4 linked regions of the Schizosaccharomyces pombe genome follow. The gene in region 2 interacts genetically with the main gene of each other region. Each region holds a gene or a part of one and is shown on either strand. Other genes may lie near its edges. The genes, in order: abo2, ers1, hip4 and ani1.

What was found.
Region 1: mutations in ers1 (region 2) and abo2 together harm fitness more than expected from each alone (negative genetic interaction), as found in Schizosaccharomyces pombe (2 studies listed by BioGRID).
Region 3: mutations in ers1 (region 2) and hip4 together harm fitness more than expected from each alone (negative genetic interaction), as found in Schizosaccharomyces pombe (2 studies listed by BioGRID).
Region 4: mutations in ers1 (region 2) and ani1 together harm fitness more than expected from each alone (negative genetic interaction), as found in Schizosaccharomyces pombe (2 studies listed by BioGRID).

Annotation. Positions count from the first base shown.
Region 1 is NC_003423.3:1,436,554-1,446,275, reverse strand, and holds abo2 (ATPase histone chaperone), read left to right. Parts: upstream 1-3,554; 5' UTR 3,555-3,703; coding exon 3,704-7,309; 3' UTR 7,310-7,441; downstream 7,442-9,722. Other genes in the region: Prp19 complex WD repeat protein Prp5, read right to left, coding at 1-164; nrk1 (nicotinamide riboside kinase), read right to left, coding at 603-802, 889-1,255, 1,430-1,498, 1,601-1,625, 1,680-1,711; SPOM_SPBP22H7.04 (uncharacterized protein), read right to left, coding at 7,442-8,209; actinomyosin ring linker protein Sbg1, read right to left, coding at 9,453-9,722. UniProt on the Schizosaccharomyces pombe protein: Probable ATPase which may play a role in nucleosome organization.
Region 2 is NC_003421.2:797,749-807,006, forward strand, and holds ers1 (RNA-silencing factor Ers1), read left to right. Parts: upstream 1-3,409; 5' UTR 3,410-3,448; coding exon 3,449-3,479; exon of another isoform or gene 3,480-3,515; coding exon 3,516-3,591; exon of another isoform or gene 3,592-3,630; coding exon 3,631-3,679; exon of another isoform or gene 3,680-3,718; coding exon 3,719-3,768; exon of another isoform or gene 3,769-3,791; intron 3,792-3,823; coding exon 3,824-4,238; intron 4,239-4,283; coding exon 4,284-5,563; intron 5,564-5,612; exon of another isoform or gene 5,613-5,613; coding exon 5,614-5,661; exon of another isoform or gene 5,662-5,698; coding exon 5,699-5,809; exon of another isoform or gene 5,810-5,851; coding exon 5,852-6,133; intron 6,134-6,183; coding exon 6,184-6,270; intron 6,271-6,311; coding exon 6,312-6,753; 3' UTR 6,754-6,795; downstream 6,796-9,258. Other genes in the region: histone H3-H4 chaperone Spt2, read right to left, coding at 1-221; rps1501 (40S ribosomal protein uS19), read left to right, coding at 534-995; protein Fta4, read left to right, coding at 2,095-2,236, 2,311-2,870; rRNA processing protein Ipi1, read right to left, coding at 6,879-7,879, 7,930-8,052, 8,101-8,173, 8,217-8,261; protein mug4, read right to left, coding at 8,514-9,258. UniProt on the Schizosaccharomyces pombe protein: Involved in RNAi-dependent heterochromatin formation and centromeric silencing.
Region 3 is NC_003423.3:655,491-662,983, reverse strand, and holds hip4 (histone H3.3-H4 chaperone, HIR complex subunit Hip4), read right to left. Parts: upstream 4,360-7,493; 5' UTR 3,900-4,359; coding exon 2,883-3,899; 3' UTR 2,753-2,882; downstream 1-2,752. Other genes in the region: SPOM_SPBC947.06C (spermidine family transporter), read right to left, coding at 1-44; rrp1402 (ribosome biogenesis protein Rrp14-C), read left to right, coding at 1,899-2,600; hsp3103 (ThiJ domain protein, glyoxylase III), read left to right, coding at 5,876-6,661. UniProt on the Schizosaccharomyces pombe protein: Component of the HIR complex, which functions as a histone chaperone that cooperates with cia1/asf1 to promote replication-independent chromatin assembly.
Region 4 is NC_003423.3:4,061,889-4,066,460, forward strand, and holds ani1 (FKBP-type peptidyl-prolyl cis-trans isomerase), read left to right. Parts: upstream 1-2,631; 5' UTR 2,632-2,668; coding exon 2,669-3,754; 3' UTR 3,755-4,072; downstream 4,073-4,572. Other genes in the region: deoxycytidyl transferase Rev1, read right to left, coding at 1-2,270; sporulation specific PIL domain protein Meu14, read left to right, coding at 4,406-4,487, 4,529-4,572. UniProt on the Schizosaccharomyces pombe protein: PPIase that acts as a histone chaperone. Histone proline isomerase that increases the rate of cis-trans isomerization at prolines on the histone H3 N-terminal tail. Proline isomerization influences H3 methylation thereby regulating gene expression.

The sequences.
Region 1 (9,722 bases), on a different chromosome or scaffold from region 2:
TCTAAATGTTCTTTGTATGTTCTTTTGAGATTTTGAGCTACAGTATCGTCAAAACTGGTAACTGACCCAAACTCGGCTCCAAAAAGAGTTTTTGATGTTCTAAGACTATTTGTAGTCAAAGAAAGTACATCTGTATCATCCGATATGTTTTTTGCTTCTGTCATAAATCTGTTAAATTTTTGGTAGAGGATTTGTAGGTAGATGGCAGTTGGACTGACTTATTTGAAGCATCATAATCCACGAACATTAGCGAACGAGAAATATTAAGTACTAATATTTGAGAATAAAGTAGCTTACAAATGAATTGTCAAAATAAAAAAAGGGATGGTTATCAAGTAATAAAAGTTTGTAATATATATACATTTATTAAACGGTCTAGTTACGGATTATTAATAACATGATGTTCTAAAAGCGATAGTAGCAATAAATATATGGAGAGGAGGAAATGATGGAAAGTAATTAATTAACCCTGAATTTAAAAAGTAAATCATGCACAGGTAGTCTTGTCTAAAAAGAAAAAAAAGAAGCGGTAGAGAGGATTTGTGTATAAGTCAGGTAGTACTCAGAAAATACAAGTCGAAGAAAAGATAGATCAAAACGGATCATTGTAAAGCATTCAAAATTGAATTAATGGCCCATTGGACGTTATCTCTCACAGACATTTTACTAGAAGGGCTTAACTGTATACGCTTATCAAGCAATTTCCCTGTCACATCGCCATTGACAAACAAATGGGAATGACCATGTACATAGCCAGGCCAAACATAATTTTCGAAATAATGTGGGGGGTCTTGCCAAAATCCTGGAACAATTTGGAGTTAGCCTTAACTGAAAGGTACAACGATTAAACACAGGTGTTATGTTTTATCTGGATAGTTGAATTCTTACCTTCCAACGTTATATAACCAGTACGGGCTTCTCTACGACGCTTAAGCGTATCAAAATCGGTCACCAGCATCAGTCGAATATCAAATGCGTTTATAAGGTCTTCATTAACGTACATCATAAATCCGTCTACGAAAACGAGATGCTGTTCCAAAGTTGGAATGGCCGGTGCCTTGAATTCTTTAATTATATCAGCGTATTCTATTAGGGCTTCAGGAGCAACATTTTTATTTTCCCTATTTCGAAGGTGAGTAGGTAACACGCCATGATCACGGATATAATGCAAATTTTCAAGGAAAGCGTCTAAATTCAACGACTCTTGGCAATCCCAATCGGCAATGCCGTTTTTGACTGGTATCTCAGCATCAGTCTACAAAACAAACGAGTTAGTATATCAATAGGTGCTTTGGCACTACATAAAAACACAGTGTTTGCTTCATCGATAAGATTCAACCATCGGTTTTTAAAACGAGGGTACGATTTATTCTATGACACTTGCAAAATTCGCACGACTAGGCAAATAGACGAAATAATCTAAACGAACCTTGTAAAAATCATCTTCATGAACGAGAGAAGATCCTTCAAAAATGGCATGTAAAAGCTGGCATAGAGTCTGTCAAAACAAGAAAGAGAAATTGGTTAGTACTTCATTTTTTTTTTATTTTGGAGTTTTTGATTTTATTTTATTCTTTCTTATTAATCAAAATTATCATACCGATTTTCCACTACAAGAGGCACCACTAATTTTTTCTTGTTAATAAAAATTCATTAAAACAATTGCCTGTAGAACTTACCTAACCCCAACAATGATAGTTTTCCGAGTCATTCTAATGATAATATGGAAAAATGAAGGTAAAAATTGAGACAAGAAGCCTGGACAGAAGCTGGATACTGGAATTCGGTCTGTTATATTTGCACAACACAATTAATTAATTACCAGCCAAAAGCTGTAAGACAGGTTAACCGAATTTTAAAAAGAATTTGGATTTAAACAAAGCGCCTAGTATCTTAAATCAAGCTCGATGATTATTTGTTATGGAAATAAACGAGAATTTTAAAAAGATATGTGGTAAAGAAGCCGAATCCACAAAATTTTATAACAACCAACAAAACTTTTAGATATACAAGAACAAGTAAAAGATCACTTATAACGATTTCGCAAGTATAAGAAAATGGAAAAAGAAAGGAGTATACAAATTCTTTACGGTATAAATGGAGGATTTGAAAGATAATTTAAATTCACCAAATATTAACGCTTTCGAATACGTATAAGAATTTTTATATGGCAAATATGCCCGGTAAAGATTAATGGTGTTTTGAGTTATTGATCGTTTAAAACAAGAGTGAAATAGGAGGAAGGCTGGAGTTGGTAGTATGAAGATATGGTTAGTAGTATAATCAGTCAATAATACAAGGCTTTGGATGATAGCAATATACTAATCCGCTCCCGTCATGTATCCTTTACGAAAAGATAGGGTAGATAATAAGAGTAAAAAATACAATTTTTGTTTAAAATATATATATTTTTTGATTAGATAAAAAAAAGTGGTTCACTTTTTTTATTTATTTAGCCAAAGTATGTAGGAAATTGGAATTCTTTAATTGTTTTGCGAAAATTATTTTATTAATTATTGCTTTTTCCTTTCAAATTTGTGATAAACTATGTCTGAATAATATTAGTTTGCTATTTTCATTTTTTAAGTCGTTTTAATGTCTTTTGCTTATTGTTTACATTACACTTACTTAGTTCTACGGTAGCAAAGTTTTTATCAACTCCATGAAATGCGAATATTTCGATGAATTTAAAAAATATATGTATATTGGTTGAGTTTCTTGAGGCCTTGTTAAACGATTTTTGTAGTACTACACTTAGTAAATATAAAATTTTTTAACACTAGGTGTTTGGCTTCAGTTTTCCAATTTGACTAGCTTCAATTGCTTTTCCAAAAAAAAAATAAAAAAATAAATAAAATATAATAAAGCTATAAATTGCATGTAAATTGGATGAAACAATAGAATTAGTAATAATAATAAATACTGAATTCAAACATTAAGGAAATTTAAGGACACTATTTTAAAAATGAAATCAATATTGATCGAATTTCAATGGATCTGTATTGAATGCCAATGTAATTAGGAAATTAAAAGACCTTTTGGTTTAATAAAAAAATAAAAAAAGCCGTACCGATCTCTACCTTTGTTCATTATATCAATCTAATATGAGACGTAAAACTACGGATTATGAATAGTAAGTTTTCAAAGAGATTATAAAATAATACTCTTTGCATAAATTCTTCTCATCCTTTCAATTAACAGCGAAACGACGAAACACTGACAATCAATTAAATAAAAAAAAATACTATATCAGTGAGGAACGTCAAGTGAAGCTCAAGATTCGAAGTTGGCAATGAACTTTTATCCTCATAGAATTTCAAATCTATCCACATGTCTGTAAACAATGCATCAATGTATGGATATTACCAATGTACTAAACTGATCGTGGACAAATAATCTCAGAAAAGTCAATTTTTAAACAATATTGTTTTTGTAAAGATACTACTTCTGTTGTTTAGTCCAAAAATCCACTTACTCTACTATGTGCTTTCCTTTTCTTATAACGCATTGTTACGAACTTCATTTATTTACTTTTCCTTACAAACCTTCCATTCGTAAACCAGCATGTGGAAAACCTAAGATATCCCAAATTTTTTGGAGCCTTTAATTGTGCAATTGTAAATAAAAAATCTACATAACAAATTGTCTTAACCAAGTTGACAACGTCTTAATTTGTTGGTGCCAGCAGTGCATTTTGCGTGCAATGCGCAGAAGGGCCAGATCCATTCGTTTTAGTTCTGACGATAATGAAGATAATGAAGAAGATGATGATTATTACTCCAACGCACACAGCGAAAAATCAGAGGATCATTCAAATCATATAAAAGTTTCACATTTTGATCCTTCCTCCTATAAACAAAAGTTAGTTTCAGTGCGTGAAACTCAAAGAAATAGAAAATTCTCTTCGTTACAGAAACATCTAAACACAGAAACGCCTTCTTTTTCTGTTTCTATAGAAAATCCTTCAAAGCCTTCTGCGGCATTCAATGATGCATCATTGGGAAAGAAGAGTACTGAACATCAAATTGATGGTATCAGAAATGGAAGTAGTAACCTTCAAATGGAAGGAAATGATAAAGAGCTAGACACTGATAATAATGAGGACGAATCCACTACCTTTAAGGATGAAGAAGACGATTTGATAAGTCCGAAATCATATCTTACTTCTTCAAAAACCTTTTCGTATCCAAAAGCTCCAACAGAATCAACAAATGGTGATTATTTAGATGAAGACTACGTAGATGGACAAAGTGATCCTGAGTCTTCGAACGCCAGTGATTCTGACTTCGCGGATAGCCCTGATGATTTGACAAAAGTGCGCTCACCCATTCCAAGTAGAAGAGGACGTAGAAAAAGAAAAATGAGAGGTCCAATTTTGCCAGTTAAAAAAAATTTAAGGGTCAAGAAGGCAATGAGTCCTCTTCGCGCTGAGCGAAATTCACCAGATTTCCGACGCAAACTTCGTAGTCGTGACAATCGACCGAATTATCATTTATTTGACTATTACAACGAAATTGCATCTTCCCCAAATCCTTCAACAACGAAGATTACTTATAATCCGCCAAAATTGCCTATGAAAGATTTTGCTACTCTTCCCATCGGTTATCAAAGTACTTGCGATAGTGATGAAACGAGTGAGTTGAGCAGTACAAGTTCAGAGCAAACTTCCGACGTTGAAGGACTTAATGCTTACAATAATTTGGGCGCTAGTTCAGATATTGAGAATGCTCCCTCCTCTCAACTTCACTTTGGTCACATAGACGAAAAGACGATTAGAAGTACTGACCCTTTTGCCAATAGGGAAAATCTTGATTTCAATTCCATAGGAGGACTGGAAGATATTATACTTCAACTGAAAGAAATGGTGATGCTTCCTTTGTTATATCCAGAAGTATTCTTACATCTGCACATCACACCTCCTAGAGGTGTCTTGTTTCATGGTCCTCCAGGGACTGGAAAAACACTAATGGCTAGGGTGTTGGCCGCTAACTGCTCGACCAAAAATCAAAAAATTAGTTTCTTCTTGAGAAAAGGGTCTGATTGTTTAAGCAAATGGGTTGGCGAAGCAGAAAGGCAACTTAGGCTTTTATTCGAAGAAGCTAGAAGAGTACAACCCAGCATCATATTCTTTGATGAAATAGATGGGCTTGCTCCTATTCGATCTTCAAAACAAGAGCAAACTCACAGTTCCATTGTCTCCACCTTGCTTGCTTTAATGGATGGCCTCGATACGCGTGGACAAGTAGTAGTAATTGGTGCTACTAATCGTCCCAACGATCTTGACCCGGCCTTAAGGAGACCCGGTAGATTTGATCGCGAATTCTACTTCCCTCTACCAAATAAGCAAGCACGTATGAAAATTCTTGAAATCAATTCTTTACATTTTTCTCCAAAAATACCAGAGAGCTACTTATTACACTTAGCGGAATCTACGTCTGGTTATGGTGGAGCAGATTTAAAAGCTTTATGCACCGAAGCAGCCCTTAATGCAGTTCGACGCACCTTCCCCCAAATTTACACATCTTCTGACAAATTTTTAATTGACCTGAATGAAATATCCGTTAGCATTTGCGATTTTGTAGTCGCATCTGAGAAGATTGCTGTTTCTACACGAAGAAGTGATGTTAAGCCGAATATACCTATTACGGATTCCCACAAAATTCTGTTTAAGAAAAGTATTGAGGTTATAACGTCAAAAATTAGACGACTATTAAAACTTGACGTATATTTACCAACGGTCGAGTCTTTACAAAAACTTCCTGCTGAAGAGTTGATGAGGCAAAAAGAAATTAACTCTCTAAAAACTACCATGTCATTCCGCCCAAGACTATTGATTACTGATATTTATGGATATGGATGTACTTATTTAAGCAAAGTGCTTTTCTCTATGTTAGATGGTATCCACGTGCAGTCTTTGGATATTTCTGAGTTGTTAATGGACACAACCACATCTCCGAGGTCTTTGTTAACCAAGATATTCTCTGAAGCCCGAAAAAATGCGCCAAGTATTATATTTATCAATAACGTAGAAAAATGGCCATCTCTATTTTCACATAGCTTTTTGTCAATGTTCCTTCTTTTATTAGATTCAATTTCCCCTTTAGAACCTGTCATGTTACTGGGGTTTGCTAATACTAATCAAGAAAAATTGTCGTCTACCGTCCGCTCCTGGTTTCCTTCTCATCGAAGCGAATATCATGACTTGTCGTTTCCTGATTATTCATCAAGATACTCTTTTTTCCATTACTTGCTTAAACGTATTTCATTCCTTCCCATTCACCAAAAGAGCGCCGAAGCAGCAAGCGTTGATATTTTACCCAAAGTACTACCAGTTTCTAAAACATCAGATTTAACCGACAAAGTAAACCGAAGACAAAGAAAGAACGACAAGAAAATAAAAAACAAAATTCAGGTTAAACTTAGCTCAATACTTGAAATGCTTCGCTCTCGTTATAAAAAGTTCAAAAAACCGATAATAGATTTAAATGACATTTACATTGATGAGTCGAACGAAAGGGTGGTAAAAGGAAAATCGAAGGATAATTTTGAGTATTTCCTTTCAGGAAATACAGTCACTCGTAAAAAAGACAATGCTTGTTTCAAAATGATGAACTTTGAGGAAATTGAAAGACGCTTATGGAGTGGACGTTACTGTACTCCTAAAGAGTTTTTGCGTGATATCAAAATGATCAAACAAGATGCGATCCTGTCTGGCGACGTGAACCTCAAACACAAAGCCAAAGAAATGTTTGCGCATGCCGAATTAAATGTTGATGAGTTGATTGATGCAAAGCTGTTGTATGATTGTTGTCAAGTCTCCAAGAGGGAAAAGGCATATAAACAACTAAAACAAAAAAAACTGAACAATGCAAAGGATGCTCATGAGATGCAAGAATCAAAGAATGAAGAAACATTTGTGAGAAACGATGTTGCACAAGAAGACAATTTCATTGAGCTTTCGTCAAATGAGGTTCGCAACGTTTCTAATGATGAACATAAACATACTTTATTTCATGGACAATCACTTACTCATAACAATTTGATTGCTGTCACTCCACCTAGCAGGACTGGTGTTGAACACAAAGAAGAGAACAAAAAATACGATAACGTAAATATTCAAAAAACCTTGGCAAAATGTGCAGAGGAATTTGCTGAACATACCAATTTTAATAAGGTGGAACTACTAGATTTTGTTTATTCCAAATTGTCATCCACTATTTGGGAAAATCGTGAGGAGCATGATCTTCTTAAGATAGTTCGGGATGTAAGACAAACTTTCTTTCGGTCGCTTGAGGATATGGGTGTTTAATGAAATTTTGGGTTAATGTGTCTAAGCGATCTGTTAGTGAGATACAACAAATCTAAATGATAGTTGGTAATGAATGAAAGCTCACAATAAAAGATAGGAACCACGAAAGAAGATACATTTGAAATTGAAAAGCTAATATCGGTTTCCGATGACACAGAATAGTACGTCCTTTGAATTACCAGCATATTTTCCATTTGCATTTAAAAGATAGTAAAATGGACGATCGCGAATTTTCAGAGTGATTGGGTTTTTCTGTAGGGAGTAAGTAACGATTGATACGTCTTTTCTTGGAACAATTAATGATTTAGAAAAATAAAGCTTGTTAAATGGTGATAAAAATCCAGTTACAATTTCAAACCGTTGGGATGGTAAGGTAGAAATTGAATAAATATTTCGTCTTGGTAAAAATAAAATCAACGTTAAAGTAAAGTAAAGAGCAGGAGTAATAAAAGCAGATCCAATATAAGATAATTTCTCGTAATAATCCATATCGACCCAATTGGCAAATATCTCATCTTTTGCGCGATATATGTCAACACTGGCAAAAGAAGTAATCACACAGACATTTATAAGCATCCCGACAGTTAATAAATAAATAAGACTGATTTTCTTATCTGCTTTTGCTTGATATACAAGAAAAGGCTCCCGAGTTGTCATTGCTTGCCAAGCAATTTTCGCTGGGGTTGCATTCCGTTTTGAGGTAATATCTTTCAGTATGTTAGAGTTATGGAATTTTTTGATGGGCGGCTTATTAAACACTCTCAATATTGATATTTCCGAGAAAGACTTCTGAATTGGACGCAATGACCTAAACATAGGATTGAACATATTTGTTGAAACAATTCGAGACAACAACGCCTTATGCCTAGCAACACGTATATTAAAGATTAGCATACTCATAACTTCGCAACATGAAAATGTTCAATTGATCAGCTTAACCCTTTAATTAATTAAATTACCCGTGTAAATTCAAGGGTGAAGAATTGAATGTAAATACGTGTAAACATTTTAGCAAATGTTTTACGCATTCGAATAATACTTAGTGGATTATTGTCCGTTTGATATTACCAAATAGAGAATCCCAATGAGAATATTTAAAAAAATAACGCACTCAACCACGATGAAGGCAGCAGCATGGAAAATGCTGAAAAAAGAAATGTAAATGTCAATTATACGGCTGAATAGTCAGACGTTTTAACAAGCCGGGTGTAAAAATTTTTTTGATCTATTCAAGCGCTGCTTTATTTTTATAAAATATGTACTGGCATTGTTGAAAGCTGACTTTTAGTTCATCATGAACAAAATAATATATTTCGGCTTTCCGAATCGTTAAAATGCAAGAAGTAATTAATGTTACAAAAAATTAAAGATGCCATTTACTTCAACCACTCCTCGTCTATTGTTTTCATACACAAATGAAACGGAAACCGTGTAACCTTGCTACATACTTTTAATACAATTAACACTTTACGGACTACGTGGAAAGTGTAAGACAAAAGCAGAATAGCATAAGTCCTTTATTCATGATATAAGTGCTGAGAACGGAGCTTACTCATCCAAGCATATAGACACACAATGCTCTTTTTTTTTTAAAGAATGCTTGAATGGGCACACGTAGCCGATGTACTGAAGGCATATTTACTAACTGATTCATTACCTATAATTTGAGTTAGTCTAACCATGATAGGTCATTAGTTAAATGACTCGTATTTGCGAAATAGAAACCAAATATTATTTATGATGCAGTAAACGATGAATAAATCCAATAAATGAAAGATTTAGAGATTGAACTTTAACGAAATAAGAAGGGCTTGAGGAAGATGCGAGGAACTGGAAAAGAATGATGTGTAAGAAAAATAATAGACATTATCAAAGAAATAGGCAAAAGGTCAAGCACAACTAGTTGAAGGCAGTCGGTTAGACGAAATATTAGAATCTGTAATACTAATGCAAAAAGAGCATACGGAAGAGAAAGTAGTGAATAAAAGAAAGTCCAAGAATTCGTGGTACTACCACAAGGATATAAGAAGCTCAAAAAAATGGAAATGCAATAGAAAGAAGAAATCATCAAAGGAATGAGAAAATAGATACGAGAAAAATCCTTCAACAAGTTCTTATTGAAAGTAAATGAAATCAAAAATACTCAGTTTTTCTTCCTTTGCTTTTCTACTTCAACAGCTGATAAAATAGGATACCCGATGAAAAGCATTAACAATCCACAACTCAGAAGAATTAAAGTCAAAATATTTACAAATCCACGCAAAGTAAAAATATTCAAATCGCGGCCATCATAGAAATCTTCATTGTGCAAAATATCATCGACTTCCTTAACACTAGGATCCCATAAAAGTGTAGCAGACTGCATAGTCACCGGAGACTCCACGGTTCCCAAGGAACTAGCACTGCCAAATGC
Region 2 (9,258 bases):
CTTTTCGCCTCCATAGCTTGCTGGCGTCTTTGCTCTTCTTCATATTTCTGCCGTAGTTCACGCTCACGCTGTAGTTTCCTTTGCCTGTTGCGTTCTTCAGTAATTTCCCGTGCTTTCTCTCGGATCTGCGCCTTTCTCAATTGTTCAATTTGAACTGCGGCTTGGGCAGATTGGCTATCTGCTAAAGCCATTAATTTTTGAAATGATGGGGTTCCTGCCATTTTATTATGAGATACAATCAATTCTTAATAATCCTCCTCAAAAAACCATAAATAATCAGTACAAAAACATGATTACCCTCCTACATGCAATACGATGATGGTTTCTGGTAAGTCGCACACATAAGTTTGATACCCAAAAGCTAAGCGATTGTGCAACGTAACGATATATACAGTACCCCTTTATTTAACTCTAAGAAATTTTATAGGGTAGGGTTTACGTGACTGTTTATAGTGACCAAAACTTGTAGCAGGAAACACTAGAAAAGATACGTTTGACCATCACCAACTACGGCATAAAATCCAATACACAGCATGGCCGAAGAACATGATGAAGCCGTTCGCGTTGCCGAACTGAGAAAGAAGAGAAGTTTCCGTACTTTTGCTTACCGTGGTGTTGAGCTTGAGCAGCTTTTGGATCTCTCTGCTGAGCAATTGGTTGATTTGTTCCATGCCCGTGCTCGTCGTCGTATGCTTCGTGGTCTTGGACCCAATGCCTCTCGCTTCATCCGTAAGCTCCGCAAGGCTAAGACTGAAGCTCCTCTTAATGAGAAGCCCGCCACTGTTAAGACCCATTTGCGTAACATGATCATCCTTCCCGAGATGGTCGGTTCTGTCGTTGGTATTTACAACGGTAAGCTCTTCAACCAAGTTGAGATTCGTCCTGAAATGATTGGTCACTACTTGGGTGAGTTCTCTATCACTTACAAGCCTACTAAGCACGGTCGTCCCGGTATTGGTGCCACTCATAGTTCTCGTTTCATTCCTCTTAAGTAAAGAGATGCAAAAAGGCGGGTTCAATGGATGGTTTCACTTCTATCTTATTCAATAATTTCTTTGTTTGGACTAACGTTGTACATTCGCATAAAAACCTAGGTTTTTTCAAGATATCTAAATTTGGTAGTGAAAGTAACAGTTGTAGAGCTGCGTGTTCGTAAACATGAATTATGTAAAGAGAAATACAGACAGATAATTTTTGTATTTGTAAAGTAACGAGTGTGTATAGTTGAAGGAGCATGGAAGTGTAACACAGAGCCGGACATATTGATTTACTTGACACTTGAATCTGCAATTTGACAGCTACGATTAGATTGCTAGCTTCATGATGTTTTACAAAAGCTACTTGTCCCACTCTTGGCTTGCCATCTAGCTAGTGAACCTATGAGAATATTTTATCATTATATTTTGGAAACCATCATTTGTTTTTGTTTCTCAACTAGCTCGAAATAACCTAAATGGTACTACATTGTAAAAACCAAGCTTTCGTTTACGTTTTACCACCGTAGAGTATATGTACCAATTCTGGGTGCTTGTTTGTAAATCTGAATTTTTTTGTAAGCTATTAGTTTTAAGGATAAATAAATATGTTTAATGCTATTCAATATTAATGGTATATCCTAGGTCAACTTCACAATACACTATACTCTAGGGTTCATCCTTCATAGAATATTACTCTCTTCGCTATATCTTAGAACTGATATATGCACTAATTTTTTAACTCGCATTAGACGAGTCCTTTCTAAGGAGCTAGCTTAATGATTATGTACATAAAATCTTCATTTTAACATCATTCAAAGTATTCTATTTAGTCGCTCGACTTTTCGACTTCTTTAGTCTCCTGTAACTTTCTCAAAATTTGTCATTAATCAACCATCAGCCAAGGTCTGATTGATTTGGTCTTTTTTTGTTAAGTAATTAATTTTGGAAGTGCTTACACTGAAGACGTCTATATGCTCAAAAGTCGCTGTTAGTTTGTTGCCTTTGCGTGAACTTGCTTTGTTAATTTCAATACCATATTGACTTGTTTTTCGATCAGTATTCAACTGTTTTTATTTTAATCCTGATAATCTTGATTTAAATCAAATTTACTTCCTAAATGGATATTTACGAACATAAAAAATCATTCATGGAACGACAGATACGGCTGTTGAACCGACCTATGCGCCCTCCAAAGGATTGGAAACTTCCTTTAAAATCCGGTCAGCTTTCAGAATCAGTCGTTGAAACTGTATTCCAACGTACGTGTTCCATGCTTTTGTCTGGATTTCTCCTACAAATAAAAAGTTCAAAATATTATTATTAACCAAAACAGGATTGCAACTTCGTATCCAAAAGCATGCAAAGCTAAATTATTCACATCAAGCAACTCAGCATGTTGCCGCTCAAATACGAAAGTTATATGAACAAAATAGCGCTATTGAGGACATTACCTTTTTAAATCCATTATTTTATGGAGAAATTGATTTAAGCAATTTAGACAGTGTAAAATCACTTCCCCATCCATGGCCTTTTCAAAAAGAATCCCGACCTGTCGAAAAGGATGAGGAGCAAGAGAAGTTCAATCGTCTTACGGGAGAGTTACTTGGTCTATTAACAACGTTGTCAGAATTAGAACAGGAGCGCTCTGAACTTGAGCAAATCGAAAAAATGTTGGAACCTTTTGAAGATGGGCCTTCTTCAATACATACGAATATGTGGAAGAAAAACCCTGAATTGATATCAACCCTCAACAGTACGAACACCATGGTAGCTAAAATTAATTCTCTTCTCAGAGGGGTTTCATTTCCTTCTTTAAACAATGACAATCAGGAAGCGTCATTGGAGGACGAAATCAGAAGCCAATTATTCGAAAAAACTATTTCTGATGATTAAAAAACTTTTCGTAGAAATTGAGAGGGAATGATGTTCATGAACTCCTATTGCATCTCATCATCTGCTTTTGAAATAATGACTAATACTTAATTGGAGGAGAGGGTGCCTTATTTCCTGGTTTAAGGATTTTATTGACTCTACTAGAAATGTTGGGGCTATAGAAATAACTTTGAAGCTTCTACTTTACGTTCAGATATTTATTGGTTAATGATTTCCTAGCTTTGGGAGGCATTAAGTTAGTTGATAAGACAACACATTTTTATTTACAAATGAGTGTCCGCTAAACAAAATACGTTTCTTAACAATTGTCTTAGTTTTATTTTTTAGTTTACAGTGTTTCTAACCTTTAATGAATCATTACAGCTTATAATTCAAATACTCAGCTCTCGATTGTAAGTACGTTAACATTAATTTTATCACAATTATAATACCTACATACAAGGAACTATAGATTTAATTATTTTTCTTTTCTTCTGATAATTCATAAAGCTTTATATTCCTAATGAATTCATATTACTTCACTTATATTCTGAAGCTGCATATAGCATGTACCATCTGTAAGCTCGATGAAATGAGTGATGGGTAAAGTATCTGCAAACAATCAATCTGGTAAGTCAATGTGTATCATTCTTTTGCTAATATTAGGATTTTTTAAATTTTATATCGATACAGCGTTGCTTTTAAATGCTGAATTTATATCCTCCTTCACAAATTGTATAAAGTATGGTTTTGCGCAAATGGACTATTACTGATGATATAGTTCTGAATATAATGGAAAAGTAAAAATTTCTTACTCTTCTTCATCTCAGGTATTTTATATATCCTAGCTATTGACGCTAATAATTCAGCAATTCAAAGTCATAGTGTACGAGGAACACAAAAGAGAAGCGTTTAGTCTGTAAGTTCCATGCGTTCATCCTAAATATTATTTTAAATATTAATTAACATGCTAGTTTTGAGGAAATAGTTCAAAAGTTGAAGCGCGAATCAACTGTTTACAAGAAACCACGCCTAGATATTCATCCATTCGGGCAATTGCATTATGATTTTACTACTTTATTGAATTTTCAAAGGTACTTAGACTTAGGATACGGTATTGAAGATGTGAAAATAAAAGAAAATGAGGACATTGTTAAGTCTAAAGTGGGCAAGAAACCGACATCCTCCGATTTTTATATTCCTTGCTTGATAAAACCTAAAATCATTACTCCTTTTGAATGGGAAGGAAATTTTAAACAGGTCATTTATTCGCCTACTGTTTACAACGGGAGTTTCAAGCGATTATTTTACCTTCCCGACAATAATGATTTGCTCAAGGAGTTTGCGCATGCTACCAACACAAAATACAAGGCTTCTTTAAAAGATAATGTATGTATTTGTGAAGATACTTCTACCATCCTAACTTTTGACTAGAAAATAGTTGTATTAGCCAATAACGATCAGGACATTAATGCTATGTTGGAGAAAATGAAGCATATAGAGAATTTAGTGTCCCAGAAAGTCTATGAATATCCTGAAGAAACTCTTGTTTATGCAGGAAAGATTGCACCCTGCCAACTGAAATTTCTAAAATTAAAATTTGAAAACGAGATTTTATACACAGCTATGCATACGACATCTATTTTCAAAAGCGTTTTCAATATCCTTGGATCTTTTTATACTATGAGATTATTGAGAAATAAACATGATGGTGATTCTTATGAGTTGGTACCAGTTTTTGCTAAAAATCCTTCCAAAACCCCTCCCTGTAATGATAATTTTAAAATATTTTCTGATGATATAAAGCTGATAGGATGTAAAATATTTGCAGGTGTTTCTTTAAACTTCTCTTCTCCGAAACCAGCGCACAGATTTTACGAGTTAAATAAAACTTCATCCAATTTGTCGATCCCAGTCTTACAAAAGCCGTCAAATTTTCATTCTTCGTCAACCGAATTATCTGATAATTCAATTCATCAAGGAAGGAGAGCAGTTGATCCTGTTGTTAACCAGAATAATCCGTCAAATTTTGAAGAAATGATTATGAACAAGTTGAATAAATTACCCACGATTGATAAGCAAATTTTAGGAACTTCATCTTTGACCCATTTCCAAGATAAAACAACTGCAATTGAGCATTCAATTAATAAGTCTAATAGCAAGCAGCCTCCTCGGTTCAAATTTCAGCTTCCTCCTCGACCTACGAGCAATACTTTACCATTGGAACCTGAAGAAGAGCTGGTTACTAGATATTCTGTTTCTTCGGATGGTAATACTGTTGACGAAGCAATAACTAAACAGTCTCAGACTTTTCAATTGGTCAATTCAAATGAATTTAATGAAGTTAACGCTAATGATGTTCATAAATCTTTGCGACAAAATTGCGCAAAATTGGATTTCGACGATTCAAAGTCTAAAAACCTATTAAGTGTAGAATGTTTAGAGCTTGACAAAGGATCAGATTGTTCCACTCCAAAATCTGGCAGCTTAACTCCTTCAATTGACATGAAGTTTTTACGTTTACAAGATGAGAAAATGGACGACCTTGGTGACAACTATTATACAATTCTAATGTCTTCCAATCCGGTATCAAGCTACGGTGTGGGAAGCTTATACTTATTTCAACCAAAAATAGTATGCTCTGAAAAATACATTAATCACGAAGAGATTGACAACATGAATTTGAAATCATTGCACAGATGGTTATCTAGAAGGTCTGTGGTATTGACTAAATATGTAAACATAAGTCTAACACTTTGTTTAGCTTGCATGTACTTCAATCCTTTTCAGGTGAAATTGAATTGAATTTAGAGTATGCGTTTATTTTTGAATAAATATTAATCCAACAGGTTTGGCGTCATACTATATCCAAATATCTCATCAGATGTGTCGGCTTGTTCACATGGTTTTATGAATATATATAAGGATTTGAATCTTCCCCGATCATATTTTGCAGACTGGTAGGTTGAGTCTTCATATGTTATATTAACCTTTTTATAAAGCATTACCAAATCAGTTTCGAATATCGATTCATTATTGAATACTCCTGTGAAAATTTTGTTTGGACGTACTGAGTATACTTATCCTTTAATAGAGCATGAAGTATTAGATTCAAAGAATTACTTTGTTTTCAAGGGAAGTTTATTATTTACAGATGATAAGAGAAACAAGACAGAGGATTCCACTGTATTTTTTTCGATGATTTGTTCTTCAAAGTTAGATCAGTTTGCGTTTTATAAAGATTCTAAGCAATCTTCTACTTGCACTATCAATTTTCCTTTAGCGTATGTTATGAATGTTTTTAAGGAAAAAAACAACTAATCATGACTTATAGCTTATGGGATTCCCGTCTACGTATCGAAACGAAAGTCCCTTTAAATGATGCGATACTTACAGAGTTCTCCAAAAGTATTAGATTTAGGTATGTCAATTTCTGAAAGCTTCGACTAATCAGTTGACTAGAAACGTAAATAAGGATTTACTGTTAGTCTTTGGAAATATGGAAGACAGAGTAATAATTCATTCGGTCACAAGAATTAATGAAAACTCTGTACCTTTTAACAAAAATTTACTCCCTCACTCTCTAGAATTTATATTAAAATGTTCAAAAGTTAAGAGCTATGACATTAGCCCGTCATCTATTAATTCCAAAGAAGCCTTCGTTTGTCTCGACAGATCCAAGGAAAGCAAACCTATAGAATCCTGTTTCAGTCTAAGTATACAAAGTGTGTACATGCAGTCTCAGTTCAAATATAATAACAGTATACGCGCAGGAGAAACGGCTCCGTGGAAACTTGCAAATAAACAATTCATTGGTGGGGCTATTACTGAGAATGTTTCAGACTTGTATACTGCAGCAATTATTATGGTGAATCAATTAGGGGGGATACACCCTACTATTTAATTAATTTTATTTATGCGTTAATATCAATTTTGTTTATACCACTTAACATAAATAACCCCTCAAACCAAATTCTTAAATTAAAACAATGCGAGGACCCATTTAAAACGAAACATATAGAGTCAGTTTCATTTACCCGGGTTCTCCAATGCATCCAATTCCACTGCACGCTCGCGCAATTTATCGTATCCTTTCAATACACCTCTCCATTCGGAATCTGTTCCATAATTGATATTTATCAACTCTATGTCCCTATTTATTTTTCTTAAAACTTGAGATATTTTCTTCCTATGATTGTTGGGTTCATCAGCTACACTGAAAACTTGTTCAGTAAACAATCCAAGCATCGATAAAACCGTTCTACAAACTTTTGAAGCAGACGGAGAGTTGGATCCATCTTTAACAACTGGGCAAGCGTCAGACCACGAGTTTCTAATGAATTCTATAATTCCAGGTATTAAAGGATATATTGTCTGCCAACGGAAAGTAGGGTTATCGACAAGATCGTGTTTATTTGGATTGAATAGCGACAAATATGCAAATGAACAAGGAGATCTAAACGCCTCGTATTTCGGATGTATTACAATGCATTGTTGCAAATAGGGATACTTTAAATGAACGGATGATTGTTGATTTTTTGCTTGTAACTTAGGGTTCAAACCCAATTGTAAAAAATCGTTACATACAGTTAGGTGTCTTATCATGTTAGCGGAAGACTTCTTTGAAAAGCTAGTTGTTCTCTTCACAGAGGCACTCTCTGAGTTCCACCCGAGAAGGTTTGTAAAGCACTCTAATGTTTTCTTCCACTGTAACGAAATTGCAGAGGAACTTAGCCGATCTTTACAAGCATTGATGAGTAAGGAGAGAAACTTTGTAGAGTCATTCCGTATTGAAGGAGTAATATGAGTCATCCCTGAGTGTGTGTAGAGAAATATCATTCCAATGTTCGGTTCCAGCAATTCTGGCCCCATTATATATATAAATTTTTCAAGAAATCGATATAGACAATCTCGTACCGATGAGGATTCATCAAGTATCAAAGGCGATGTTAACTTTAACAGCAGCGCTGTCGACGTCGTCAAAATGCTTGTATGAGATAAAACATATTGTGTAAGCTTTTCCAACGTCTCTTTAACATGTTAGCAAAAGATGCATAAGTTAATAGAAAATTTCTCTTACCCTGCCGTTGATTGGCATTATGATGCTTTAACATTCCTAAAAGATGTGCAAAGTACGCCTGATCCTTAGCTGTTGTATTGAAATCCTCCTTTTCTAAAGCTGCCTGTGTTGGAAGTACGAGCGCTAGATGTTTAGGTTAGTTATTTGAATAAAAATTCCTTTTGTTCATACTTTTTGTTCTGAATGAGGTATCGGTAAAATTATTTGGTGCATTTTTTGATTTTCCCACCTTGAGTTTTTGTTTCTAAAAAATCAGTTAATACAGCTATTTCCGACAACAATTTTACATTAAAATCAGCTCTTTTAGCTTTTGCTTTCTTTGATTTACCCATATTTAATATATTGTGGAATTAATTGTACAATTTAAACTTCGTACTTTCAGACAACGTTACGTTTGGTGGAGTACCCAAAATGTAGAAAATGTGAGTAGTGCCTAATGTAATGAAATGAGAAAATTTTCGATTTGTTAATCCAAGTCGTTTTGCAACAACACATTCATTAATAAAAAATTTCAATTTAATCAAAAGATTTGCATTTTGTATGTACGATTAAAAAAGTGTGCTGATGATTGAAAAAATTAATGTTTAGTTGGCATTGTCATCTTTCTTCCTATTTAGCCGTAAAAATCCAAATGCCTTATGAAATTGCTCCCTTTCAAGTTCGAATGATGACATTTTTGTAACAGCTGGCATTATTTGAGTGCTAGTAACCGATACGGTTTTGTAAATTTCAGTTGGTTCTTTTTCATAGTAATCATGTAATTTCATATTCACTGCCTGCAGTTGCAAAACTTTATGCTGTAATACATTTAAACTCTTTTCCATTTCACAACTATGAGGCAGTGGAGTATCAATAAATGAACTGTTGTCTTTAGCGACACCATAAGGAAATGTTAGTTGATAAAGTATAAAAAGTGTCATCCCCGTAAAAGTCAGAAACACTAGGAATTGCTGCAAACACTTTCGAAAACTCGAAGGTGCTTCATTGGTTTTATTAGTTTCAACGACATTAGTTACAATAGGTGCACCATCAGGTATAGGTTTTTCCGGTAGATAAGATAGTATTAGTTCAGAAACGTTTTTAGCTTTGCAGCCGAGTACTAATAAGCTAGTGGGTTGATCTAGAGTTTTTTTAGAATTTTGATTGGCATATCCAATTAGATAATAAGTGGTAGATTGTATATTAATGGTCACTGGCGTTAGTATGGGTGTATTTAAAACTGGAATTGGCAGTTGTAAGCAAGAAAAGTTTGAGCTTTTTTCATAGGTTGGTTTAATAGTCCAACATAAATCAAAAACCGAAGTAGGTTGATCAGCTTGAATTAGTACA
Region 3 (7,493 bases), on a different chromosome or scaffold from region 2:
ATTTCGGAGGATGAGACGCTGTTCAAATGATCATTTTCTTTCATTGTTATAAGAAGGAAATTAATCACAGACGATGTCTAACACTTTTTCCTAGTTATATTTTTCGTAAACCTCGGTGTTAGTGCTTTCAGAGCTGCTATTTCATCCCAGTCTAGTTATTTGTAAACAGCAAATTCAGTACGAGGCCGAAATTTTCATTATTGTTGACAGCCTCAGCATCGCCCATACCATCTATCTAGTCTGGACTCTAATGTTAACAAAAAAGCATTTGCTGTAAAATATTATGTTAAAAAGGTTAGAGATACCTCTTTAATATAAATATTTTCCCAAAGGCACATTTTTTACCATACAGCTTATAATTATATAACTGCATACCATTATAAAATATGTCTTCACATAACCCATCTTTACAGTACCACACTAAGTTACCAGATTTTGATAAGATAGGGGTCCTAATGCAAGTAGCTGTAGTGGAGCTCACATTGTATAGAACTTGAGCTCACATCGGTCCATCCTAGCAATAAAGCAGCATAGAAGGTCAAAGAAGCAATTTTGATTAAATGTAAAAAAAAAAAAATGCTGCGTGGATGCATTACTTTTCCAGCTTCACTAGGCCAATGTCCCTATATGCTGTCCATGGAAAACAACACTCTATGCACTTGAATTTTCCAGTTGGGGAAAGAAAGAGAATGCGCGCTGGGTGTGATAGAATTGGAATAGTGCTGGATAGATAGTTGGTATTTTTACTATGTTTATTTTTTTTAACGGTTTTTTTCCTACGAACCTTCATAAGAGTCATTTGAAAATACTCCTATTTTATTATGGAACAAAAACACGCTCAAATCATTTTCGCATTCTTATAAATATTTCAATTCGCAAGTATCTAGGGATGAGGTTCAAGACAGCGACTGCGACAATGCAATTCAATTCCATTCCGTAGGAAAAACGAAATTGTACATTTTCACCAAAATAAGAAGACCTCTATCATCATAAGTTCCTCTTTTTTGTTTAATTTCGGCCTATATGCTGCCCTACATGCTTATGGGGATTTTAAAAACGGAATTGCCGTTTTCTTCAGAACCCAACATCCGTCTTTATATTATGCGAGGCTGCTTCTTGATAAAATCCAACAACTGAAAACAATCTTGTTCCTCTTGGATAAGGGATATTCTTAAAACACTCAATGCTTGCGTATCATCGCATCCCTTCCAAATACATTTGGTTCAGGTATTTGTTTACATCGTCTTTAGCCTTTCCAGTATGACTGTGGAATCAAAGTCATAACGAAAAACATAGAAAATTATTTTCATAAATGTTTTTTTTTACAAAATAGAGAAACTCATAAACGCGGAAATAGACTATTTACTCTTTCCAATATTGTGGCTTTCTGCGCGGACTAAATACAAATTACCCTACCCATTATCTCGCTTAACGGTATGCACCTTTTCATTAAACAATAATAACGGCGCGTAAACTTTTGGTAAATACAATAACGTATTACGTTAAATTTCGAAATAGAGGTTTTCTTTCAGTCTTTTCCACACTACAAGTACATGTCTTTATTACAAAAAGGCGTTCTTTCAATCTTGAATAGCCATTGAATCTTTGTATTACTTTAGCTTTTTTTCCCTTTTATTAAGTTTTCTTTCAAAGCAATTGTTTTTGGATTCGCAAACTCCATATTATCGGGTTTCTCTTTTTTTGTTCGTGGGTAATTAGGCTTCATTTTATTTATTATCAATCATCAATTCAAAAGTTTTTTTCGTTTAAGAAATTTTAACATCCCTTTTCTATTTTTATCGGGTTGTATCGGATTTTGTTTATTAACCCAATTCTGATTGTGTATTTTCATCCTCTTTCTCCATTATTTGTGATTCCTCCTTTATCATCGGTCTGTAATGGAAACAACTGAAGGAAAAAATGACTTACGAGCAAAGCTTGCTGAAAAGATTCAGACATTTCGCTCTCAAAGAAAAGCTACTGAAAAAGTAGACCGTGCTCTACTTTTACAGCGCAGAAAAGAAAAGGCAAAAGCTCGTGCTGAAGCGAAGAAGTTAGCTAAAAAGGAGTCAAAGGCTAAACAGGAATCAAAAGTGGCAGCTTATGACACTGGGAACTCTTCTGATAACATTGCTGACGAGGAAAATGACAACCACAAGAGCACTATTACTTATGGTACTTTAATAGTCGGAGATGACAAATTCTCGAATGGTAAACTAAAAGTTGCCGGAAAAAAGCGAGGTCCTACTGATGTCTTTGGCGCTCTAAAGCATTTGGAAGCCAAGAAACGCCGTATTGAAAGCATGGACGAAGAGAAAAGGAGAAAAATTGAAGAAAGTGATAAATGGCATAGAGTTTTGCTTCAGGCAGAAGGGAAAAAACTCAAAGATAACGAGCAATTGCTTAAAAAGAGCATTCGTCGCAAAGAAAAGGAAAAGAAAAAGTCTTCAGACGCTTGGAAGGAAAGGAAGGACAACGAAAAAAAAGCAATGTTAATGCGGCAGCAACGTAGAGAAGAAAATTTGAAAAAACGTAGAGAAAGTAAAAAGTCTAAGAAGGGGAAGGCACCAAAAAAGAAGAAGCCATCCAAGAAAAAATAGACGCTTAACTTTAAATTTGTTCAAAAATTATACTGGTCTGTTGGGATTTAATGGTTAACAAGGAGGTTTGGGTTTAAATAGCTTTTTTTGTCATTTGATTATGAATGAATACATAAATTTACTCATACAAACAGTAACACTGAAACAAAATTCTGCCTTAAAAAAGAAATAGATAATCAATGCGGTGTGATGATAATTGCTTTTTATTAACGAAAAAAATATGATATAAAAATAATATACAGAAATCGATTGACAGATCTTCAGGTCACTACATATGTATAATTATGGGATGCTACTAGTTGGAATTGATTTCTCTGGTTCAGCTTGATGTTCATCAACGGGTAAGGATGCATTCTGAGAAAGAACGATGCTTACTTGTTGAGTAGGTTTCGAAACGACAGAAGCATTGCCCTGATCAATAGGTAGGGAGGTCGAAGGTTTGAGTTCCTCCGTAGAAGGATTAGTTAAAGCACTTGGAGGAGAAATGTGCTCATTAACAGTAGCGGGAGAATGCTTTGGTTCAGAGAGAGGTGGTATAGGGGGTGTAGATGTAAGAGGTGTCTCAAGTTTAACAGCCTTTTTGGTATTTTCTCCCGTACTTTGTTTGGGCACTGAAGAGGATGTCTTTTTTGTGGCTTTCTCTTTGCTTTTCGTTGTTTTTGCTTCCTTCTTAGAGACATCCTTGGGAACCTTTGCATTTTCCCGTTTTGCCTCTTTTAAAGCATTCTTAGCAGCCATTTCAATGGACAAAGTCCTTAATGGCTGCTCGTCCTCAGATTCAATATCCCTACTATCGTCAAAGCTAGCATCCGCTGAAGCCACCACCGCAGAGACAGCTGGCGCAGGGTGTGTAGCATTGGATAAAGATGTTTTCTTCTTTTTCTTAGTCTTCTTTGATCTTTCGATTTTCACAGTATCTCCTTCGGCCACGAGTGGACCGCTAAATACAAAAAATCCATCTTTGGTAGCGGCAGCCTTCTCTTCAATGTAGAGCTCAGCATCATCAATAAAGGGATCTGTTCTATCGTAGTATTCGTCAGCGTACCTCCTTTTCCTTTTCTTTTTCTTTATGGTCTGTGTACCATCGGCCGCCCCATTAGCTGCTTGTTGCTCATCAACATGTGTACTTTCGCCCTCAGAATCCGCTGAGTCTGAAAGATCATTTTTTTTTGAATTCTCCTGAACAGAGGGTCCATAAAGTTTTTCCACTTCTTTTGCAAAATTAATATGTACGTTTTCTTTGCCTTGCAAAGGAATTTCCAAGCAAATAATTCGTTGGTCGCCAGACAAAAGCGACATGACGAACAAAAGCGAAGTATAGTGAAAACGTAGAAGAAAAAATTTGCAAGGAAAAGTAATCCTAACAAGCGAAAATGGTAGTTTTAATTACAATTGAGTCCAAGACTTAGTGCCGTCGTTTCACTGAATCCAATGGATAAGTTAATAGAAATTTTCAATTCAAGAGCACTCTTAACAATTGAACAAGGCTAAGAGTTGATAGCATTAAAGAAACAAACTGCAGACCAAAAAATGAGAAATTGGACGCTTGCACTTTTTTGTAACTGAATAAATGATAAGTTCTGCGACGCTGCGTCAAATTTCTATAAGAGAGTGCAACAACAAGTGATTGAACTAGAAGCAACAAAAAATGCAAAGTGGTTAAATGATAAACAATAATTTGATTAGGAGGATGGTAAAGTAATACTTTATTTGGTAATAACTTTGAAACGAGTACGAACAATTCCCACAGTATGGGGATAGATCAAGTAAATAGCACGTTATAATGCAACTTATACTGAACAACATTAGCGCAGCAATCCTCACTTTCTTAAAAGTAAAGGGCAAAAAAGAATGCTCCTGGTGAGGCTCGAACTCACGACCTTCCCCTGTCATTATATGAGAGGGATGCTACCACCGACTGAGCTACAGAAGCTTGTGGTACACAGAAAAAAGTTACATTATATATAGGGTAAATTTATTAATTATATGAAGAGATAAATTATCATTTCTAATTACTATACGTATATATGAGTTTGGAGATTTTCAATGGAAAGAAAGGAATGAAAATGATTAATTGATCTGAATTTTTTGTTTTTAAGGAAAACTTTATTCATGGAAATTGGGTATTCAGTTGGCATTGCTTTATCAATACTCCACTACTAAGTAAAGAAAACTGTTCATGTGTGCACAGTATCATGACTACAGAACTGTATGAATGGGAAATTGTCATTTTAATCATTTAAGCTCTTAATAAACAAATTGTACTCAATATAAGCTTACTTCTCATAATCATTTCTCCTAAATAGCTAGCTGCTCCCCAATTCGTTATTCCCTTTCTACTGCAGGTCGCATTCATTGTAGTATAGACATTTGCGACTCTATCGAAGAATAAAGTCATAACATCCTAGGAATTTTTTTTCAACGAATATTTTTATTCGTAATTTTCTAGATTACAACTCCTGATCTACCAAGGCAAAAAGAAACCATCGTTTGCTTTAGTGCCAACAAAACATATACAGCAGTGGTTTATAGTATATTGTGGTTTTCGTTACAACTCACCATCCTTTTATTAAAAATTTAGCAGGAAGTGGTAGTTAGTTCATTTTTTTGATTTTTAGAAAAATTCATGTCGAATACACATTTGTTAAAGAAAGTTAACGAATTATTGATTCAGCCGGTGAACCAGAAATTACCCGACATCTCTTTTTCTTTCGTTGTGTGATTATAACAGTGCTTCAGACATATTTTGTTCGTCTATTATTCGACTTTTAGAATGTAAACATGTGAATACGCAAACCTGCTATTGTACGAGGAATTTATTTGCTCAGTGTACGAGACCCTGGCCTTTTTCATCACTAATACTTGGCTACGCATTGCTCCTGCTGTCATACGGAATTTCGAACAAACCAGATGCAAAATGCATTTCGTAGCCACATTACAAGTTTAGGGGTGAATTAGCAAAAAATAAGTCGTTAGCTATATGAACTTGCTGCATCTAGAATACCAATAGGCAATGAAAAGAGCTATGCCGTCTAAGGAGAAAATTTCTGTAACTGACATGGAAATAATTAATCAGTGGACGTTGCACTTTACTTAATGTTTACGTAAAAAACCGATAAACGAAAATTTATCGAAGAAATACTAATATTTAGAGTCCAAAAAAAAGACATAAAAGGATGGTCTTCACCGAAAATCCAAACAATTTCATCGAACTCTTTCTGTCTTCAAGGAGTTATACATTGTAAAGCACTATACAAACTATTTTTAACTCAAAAATGCCTGCTAAAACTAGAAATGTCTTAATTGCTTGCTCTGATTATTATGGACCATTTTATAAAGATGGTGAGAATACTGGAGCATTTTTTTTAGAATTGTTACATCCTTATTTGGTATTTAGAGATGCTTGTTTCAATGTTGACATTGTTACTGAATCAGGGAAAATCCAATTCGATGATCATTCAGTAGCAGGTCCGGCAATTGACAAGGGATCTAAGGGTGAAGAGTTTTTGAGCTATGATGATCACATCGCAAGTGGCCCTGAGCTATCCAAAGCTGAAAAATATGTTTTGGAAAATAAGGATGATATGTTTTGGAGGATTGTGCAAAATTCCAAAACCGCCGACGAAGTGAATCCTGACAAGTATGACATTTTCTTCGTAGCAGGAGGACATGCCACTCTATTTGATTTTCCAAAAGCTACAAATTTGCAAAAACTTGGTACTTCCATTTATGAAAATGGGGGAGTAGTAGCTGCCGTGTGCCATGGTCCTACATTACTTCCATTCATGAAGCGTCAAACGTCCGACGGCTCTGTTTCAATTGTCTGTGGTAAAGATGTTACCGCCTTCGATAGGGTGGCCGAGGATAAATCCAAACTTATGGAAGCGCTGAAAAAATACAACTTGGAGGTTTTGGACGATATGTTGAATGATGCAGGAGCCAACTTTATCAAGTCACCAAACCCATTCGGTGATTTTGTAATAGCAGATGGAAGATTAGTTACTGGTTCCAATCCTGCAAGTGCTACATCTACGGCGAAAACGGCTTTGCGTGTTTTGTAAAGCGAAACGATAATAAAGCTATTGGATAATGAGTCTTTTTAAACGATTAATTTGAACGTATGATGAAATTTATGTATACAGGAAAAATTAATGATGCGAACATAATTTGACGCCGATGAATAATAACACTCAAAATCATTGATGATATTTAAAGTGGATTACATACACTAGAAATGAATAAGATTGAATATATACTATAAAAAAAAATTTGTCAGAATTTTTCAAAAAAACGATTTCACATTTATGAATCTATATTGATATATACTTTCATTCATCTGTAAATACAAAACACCGTAGCAACAAGCAACAGTACCACAAATCGCTCCTTCGAACACTTTCAAGTTTTTCTGCCATGACCTTCTTTATGGAAGACTTTTCCATCTATACTTATAAGAACATCGCCTCTGAATAGATACAGCTACTTATTCAACTGAAAAAGAAATTTACATTTCTTTAAAAATTGGGGAATCGTTTAATATTTCCTAAACTTAGTTAACGTAAACGAGCGTTTGCAAAGCCTAAACTCGGCTACTGTCATTGCCGGTTTTTTTTAGTGACACGTTAGATTGCAGTATCATTTGCATTGCATTAATTATAAGTATAAACAGTATATTTAGATAACCTCGAAATGTATATATTTATGTATCACGGAGATTTTGTTTAGTATTATAATCTACGTAAGACCACGGAAAGCAAATTTGTTTGCATTTTAATCAAAACCATTTTTATAAATAGAAGCAAAAATGTTGTTTAAATGTTCATTTACTGCATTATTAGGTACATTCCCATGGAGTGTCTGGCTATAACGATAGATAACGCAATTTACCACAGT
Region 4 (4,572 bases), on a different chromosome or scaffold from region 2:
CGTTTGTTCATGGCAATCTCATGATTATCGTTTACTTCATTTCTTATAGGAGTAGGTAATTCAACCATAAACAAAGGATCTAACTGGCTTGGATATTCCGTAATACTTCGCTTTTGCAACCTCAATTGCTGCTGTATATCAGACTGCATCGAAGGTGGTAATTGAGCTAGAGCACTGGAACTGATTTGAGAAGATGACGGCAGATCATACGGTGTTGATGGAATAAGTTTTGGAGACAGCTGCTTCTTTTGACTAATTATTTCTTTATCTTTACTTGATATGTCAACAGATGCACCTTTTAGCGACACTTTATTTCGAGAAGTTATGCTCTGTATAGAGCGGTAATCTTTTCTAATTTTAGAGTTGTCTTTAATAATTTTGAGAGCTTGTAATCCTATACCACGTACATCTCCTGGATCGACATTAATTGTTTTATACATTGAGGTCACCTTCTTCCATATTAAGTCAAACGAATTAGTAGCAGAAGTAAAAGTTGAAGATTTTGTAAATGAAGTGACTTCCCCAGCTCCAAGGTACTTTGGTGGACTGAAAGGGGCTCCATCAGCCCTTTTCAAAATCCGAAGCTGAATTTGATGCAAAAGCACTTGGCATTTACCCATTCTGGAAAGCAACTCATGAAGCAACCGTTTTAAGAAATCTATCCCATCCTCTTGAAAAACGAAACGAACACCCCAATTAACATCTACGGATATGGACCTCCGTGGGGTTTCATTATTGATTATATCGGTATCAATTCCTCTGGAAATATTGTATAAATGCAGACCGTAATTTACCCCAAAAGTCTCTTGAAGATTGAATTTTTCAATTCTTTGCAGCTGCCCAATAGTACGCACACCGTACAAATTAAAAAGTTTCTGCGCTTGTGAAGAGCCCACCCCTGGTAAATCTTGAACAGACAAAGGACTCAATACATCAAAAACATTTTCTATTGACAAAGAATAAACGTTGTGAGGCTTCGCCTTCCTAAGTGCAAGTCTTGCTAAGAGAACATTTGGGCCAATACCAACGCTAACTTCGCAATTGGTTTTCTCGCGAACCTGCGAGCGGATAGACTCGGCAATCTCAAAGCAATCTTGAAAAGATGAAACACTAGAAGTTATATCTAGAAGAGCCTCGTCTATACTTATAACCTTAATATAGTCGTGAAGTGTATTAACAAGGATAGTGTAAAATTCTCTAGAAACAGATTCGTATGCTCCAAAATCATAATCAACAACCCGTAATGAAGGACACAGGTTTTTAGCTGTTCCAACGTACATACCATTTTTTATGCCAAACTTCCGAGCCTCATAATTACAACTAGCTATTTCGGAATTTTTTATACCATGAGCAACAGCAACGGGCTTCAGTCGTAGCTCATGAGAAAAGCGTGTTGAAACGGAAGCAAAAAAGCAATCAAAATCAACATGAAGAAGGAAACGAGATTTTTTTGATTTATCTTTCATAATTGGACGAACAGGTTCAGAAGCAGTAGTCATTGCTTGGATTTCATTTTTAAAATCAGCTTTCCAAGTACTTAAGTGATGTAAACGAGAGGAGCTAAAGAAATTCTCAAGAAAATCTTGATTTTGAGTGGTTGAATTTCGGACATTGGGATTTTTTAACAATTGATAGTTGTGCAGTGAAGACGCTGATAATCCACTCAAATCATCTAAAAATCCCTTTGCTTTACTCTCTTTTGTTTTATCTTTTTCATTATCATGTTCTTCTTCCTGCGAGCTTGTTTGAATATCTTCTAAGTTACCTTCGGGTTGGCTAGGTTTAGAGGCGACAAAAGAAAGGGTAGCTTGAGCCGATGAAGCTTGAAAGGTACGATAATTTATCCACGGAAGAATTTTCTTCTGTTTGATGCAATCCACTATCCATTCTGGTTTAACCACTTTCTGATGCTTCCATTGGCGAGCTTTGGAAGGAGTGAGAAATGAACACACCAAATATGATATGCTTGTTTTTCCATCAACATATTGTATAAAAGTACCTCCATTTGAAACTATCATTTGCCGTAATTCGGTATAAGACGGCTTTGTATATCCATTAATCGCTATTGCAAGTCCATGAAAGAGATCAGATTTAGAATCTTCATCAATACTTTTGTATAGAGCGGCATTTTGATTTTGAAGCTTTCTTTGTTTCCGGGAAAAATAATCTGCATAGTCGTGGAACCCAACACTTTCGTATGCCTCATCGTTTGCTTCGTCAAAGTCTGCAATCCCTACTGGGCGTCGACGCTTCCTTTGATTAAAAGCCATCCAGCGCGCTTCTCACTTTCAGTAAATATAAGTATTAATATGTTTCTGAAAGGAAAATAATACAAATAATAATGTAGCCACTTAAGCGGAAAAAGTGTAATTAATAAACAAACAATGTTTATAAAGAAAAACTAACTGCAAGAGCTTTTTTCTTTCATTATTTAACCTTATCCCAAAACTCGTGAAGCCAAACTATTTCAAAGTAAAAAACAACGAAATATCAAAAATAATTACTACGCGTTTGTTGTGATGCACGCTCGTCCAAATTTAATTAATTTTGAGTATAATTTGCAAATCGCGGTAATACGCACTACCCTTACTTAATGGAATACACAACGGTTTATGTATCAAAATTTTTTACATCCTCTACCACCTCACCTCTTAGGCAAGAATAAGTCATGTCTCTTCCAATTGCTGTTTATAGTCTTTCGGTAAAGGGAAAAGATGTTCCCGCTGTGGAGGAATCTACAGATGCATCTATTCATTTGACTATGGCATCCATTGATGCCGGCGAAAAGTCTAATAAACCAACTACTTTATTGGTGAAGGTTCGTCCCCGTATCCCCGTTGAAGATGAAGATGACGAAGAACTTGACGAACAAATGCAAGAGCTTCTGGAAGAAAGCCAGCGTGAATTTGTTTTATGTACTTTGAAGCCTGGTTCCTTATACCAACAGCCTTTAAATTTGACCATTACTCCTGGCGACGAAGTCTTCTTCAGTGCATCTGGCGATGCAACCATCCACTTGTCTGGTAACTTTTTGGTTGACGAAGAAGATGAGGAAGAGGAAGAATCTGACGAGGATTACGATTTGTCTCCTACTGAGGAGGATCTTGTCGAGACTGTCAGCGGTGATGAGGAAAGTGAAGAGGAATCTGAGTCGGAAGATAATTCAGCATCTGAGGAGGATGAATTGGATTCAGCTCCTGCTAAAAAGGCACAGGTTAAAAAAAAACGTACTAAGGATGAATCCGAGCAAGAAGAGGCTGCTTCTCCTAAGAAAAACAATACCAAGAAGCAAAAGGTTGAGGGTACCCCTGTTAAGGAAAAGAAGGTTGCATTTGCCGAAAAACTTGAACAAGGACCTACTGGTCCCGCTGCTAAGAAAGAAAAGCAACAAGCTTCTTCTAATGCACCTTCTAGTCCCAAGACTCGTACTTTAAAAGGAGGCGTGGTTGTAACTGATGTTAAAACTGGGAGCGGTGCGTCTGCTACCAATGGGAAAAAAGTTGAAATGAGATATATTGGGAAGCTCGAAAATGGAAAGGTTTTTGACAAAAACACTAAAGGTAAACCCTTTGCTTTTATCCTTGGTCGTGGTGAGGTTATTCGCGGGTGGGACGTCGGCGTTGCTGGAATGCAAGAAGGCGGTGAGCGTAAGATTACAATTCCTGCTCCCATGGCTTACGGCAACCAGAGCATTCCAGGAATTCCCAAGAATTCTACCTTAGTTTTTGAAGTCAAGCTTGTTCGCGTTCACTAAATTTTCATGTTGAAGATGAACATACTTTAACTCCCGTGTTTAAGAAGATCGCGGATTAAACTATGTATTCTATTAACTCTTTTTATCGCCTATCTTTTTCTTAGGTTTCAAAAAAAATCAGGGTATCATTTTGTATTTGAGTTAGGAAATTTTTTTTTAGTTAAGTGTTACAAACACTTTGGATATAGGACTTTTGGATGATTTGGATTGTTGGGTGATAAAGGAGATATAATCAATATACAATTTTTTAGAAAGAGCTGTTTGTATGTGTATGAGCATTAAGAGAAAAGAGAATAGCGCTTCCTTGATCGATACTAGTTAAGGATGTTTAAATTATGGAATTTTGAGTTTGAGTAAATATAAACGAGAACATTCCGAAAAACTCTATTAAAAGTAAAAAAAAACATATTGATAATAAAAGAGCCATTATCTGATTATCGCTAAATAAGTCTACAAACAGCTGTTTGTTTACGAAATTCTTAAAATTAATTATCGTAATAATCAACTTAAAAAAAAACAAGCAGTTTTAGAATTTAAAGAATTATTTTTATTATTTGTCTTTTTTCTATATTGTTTATTTGAAAATTGTGCTTCTGTTTACAGGCAAATCTTAAGGCGGGCATATATTTTTCTGAAACGTAAACAATCAACATGCCCAAATCAAGCAACTTGAAAATGCAGAGAAAAGGCTCTTTAAGAGAAAACGGTCTCGTGAAGGGTTTAAATAAAAATAGTAAGATATAAATTGGTGTGATAAATAAGTTAATGACATAGAATTTTCGATCAGCAAGTTAAAAGAACTATCTCATGCAGATGAC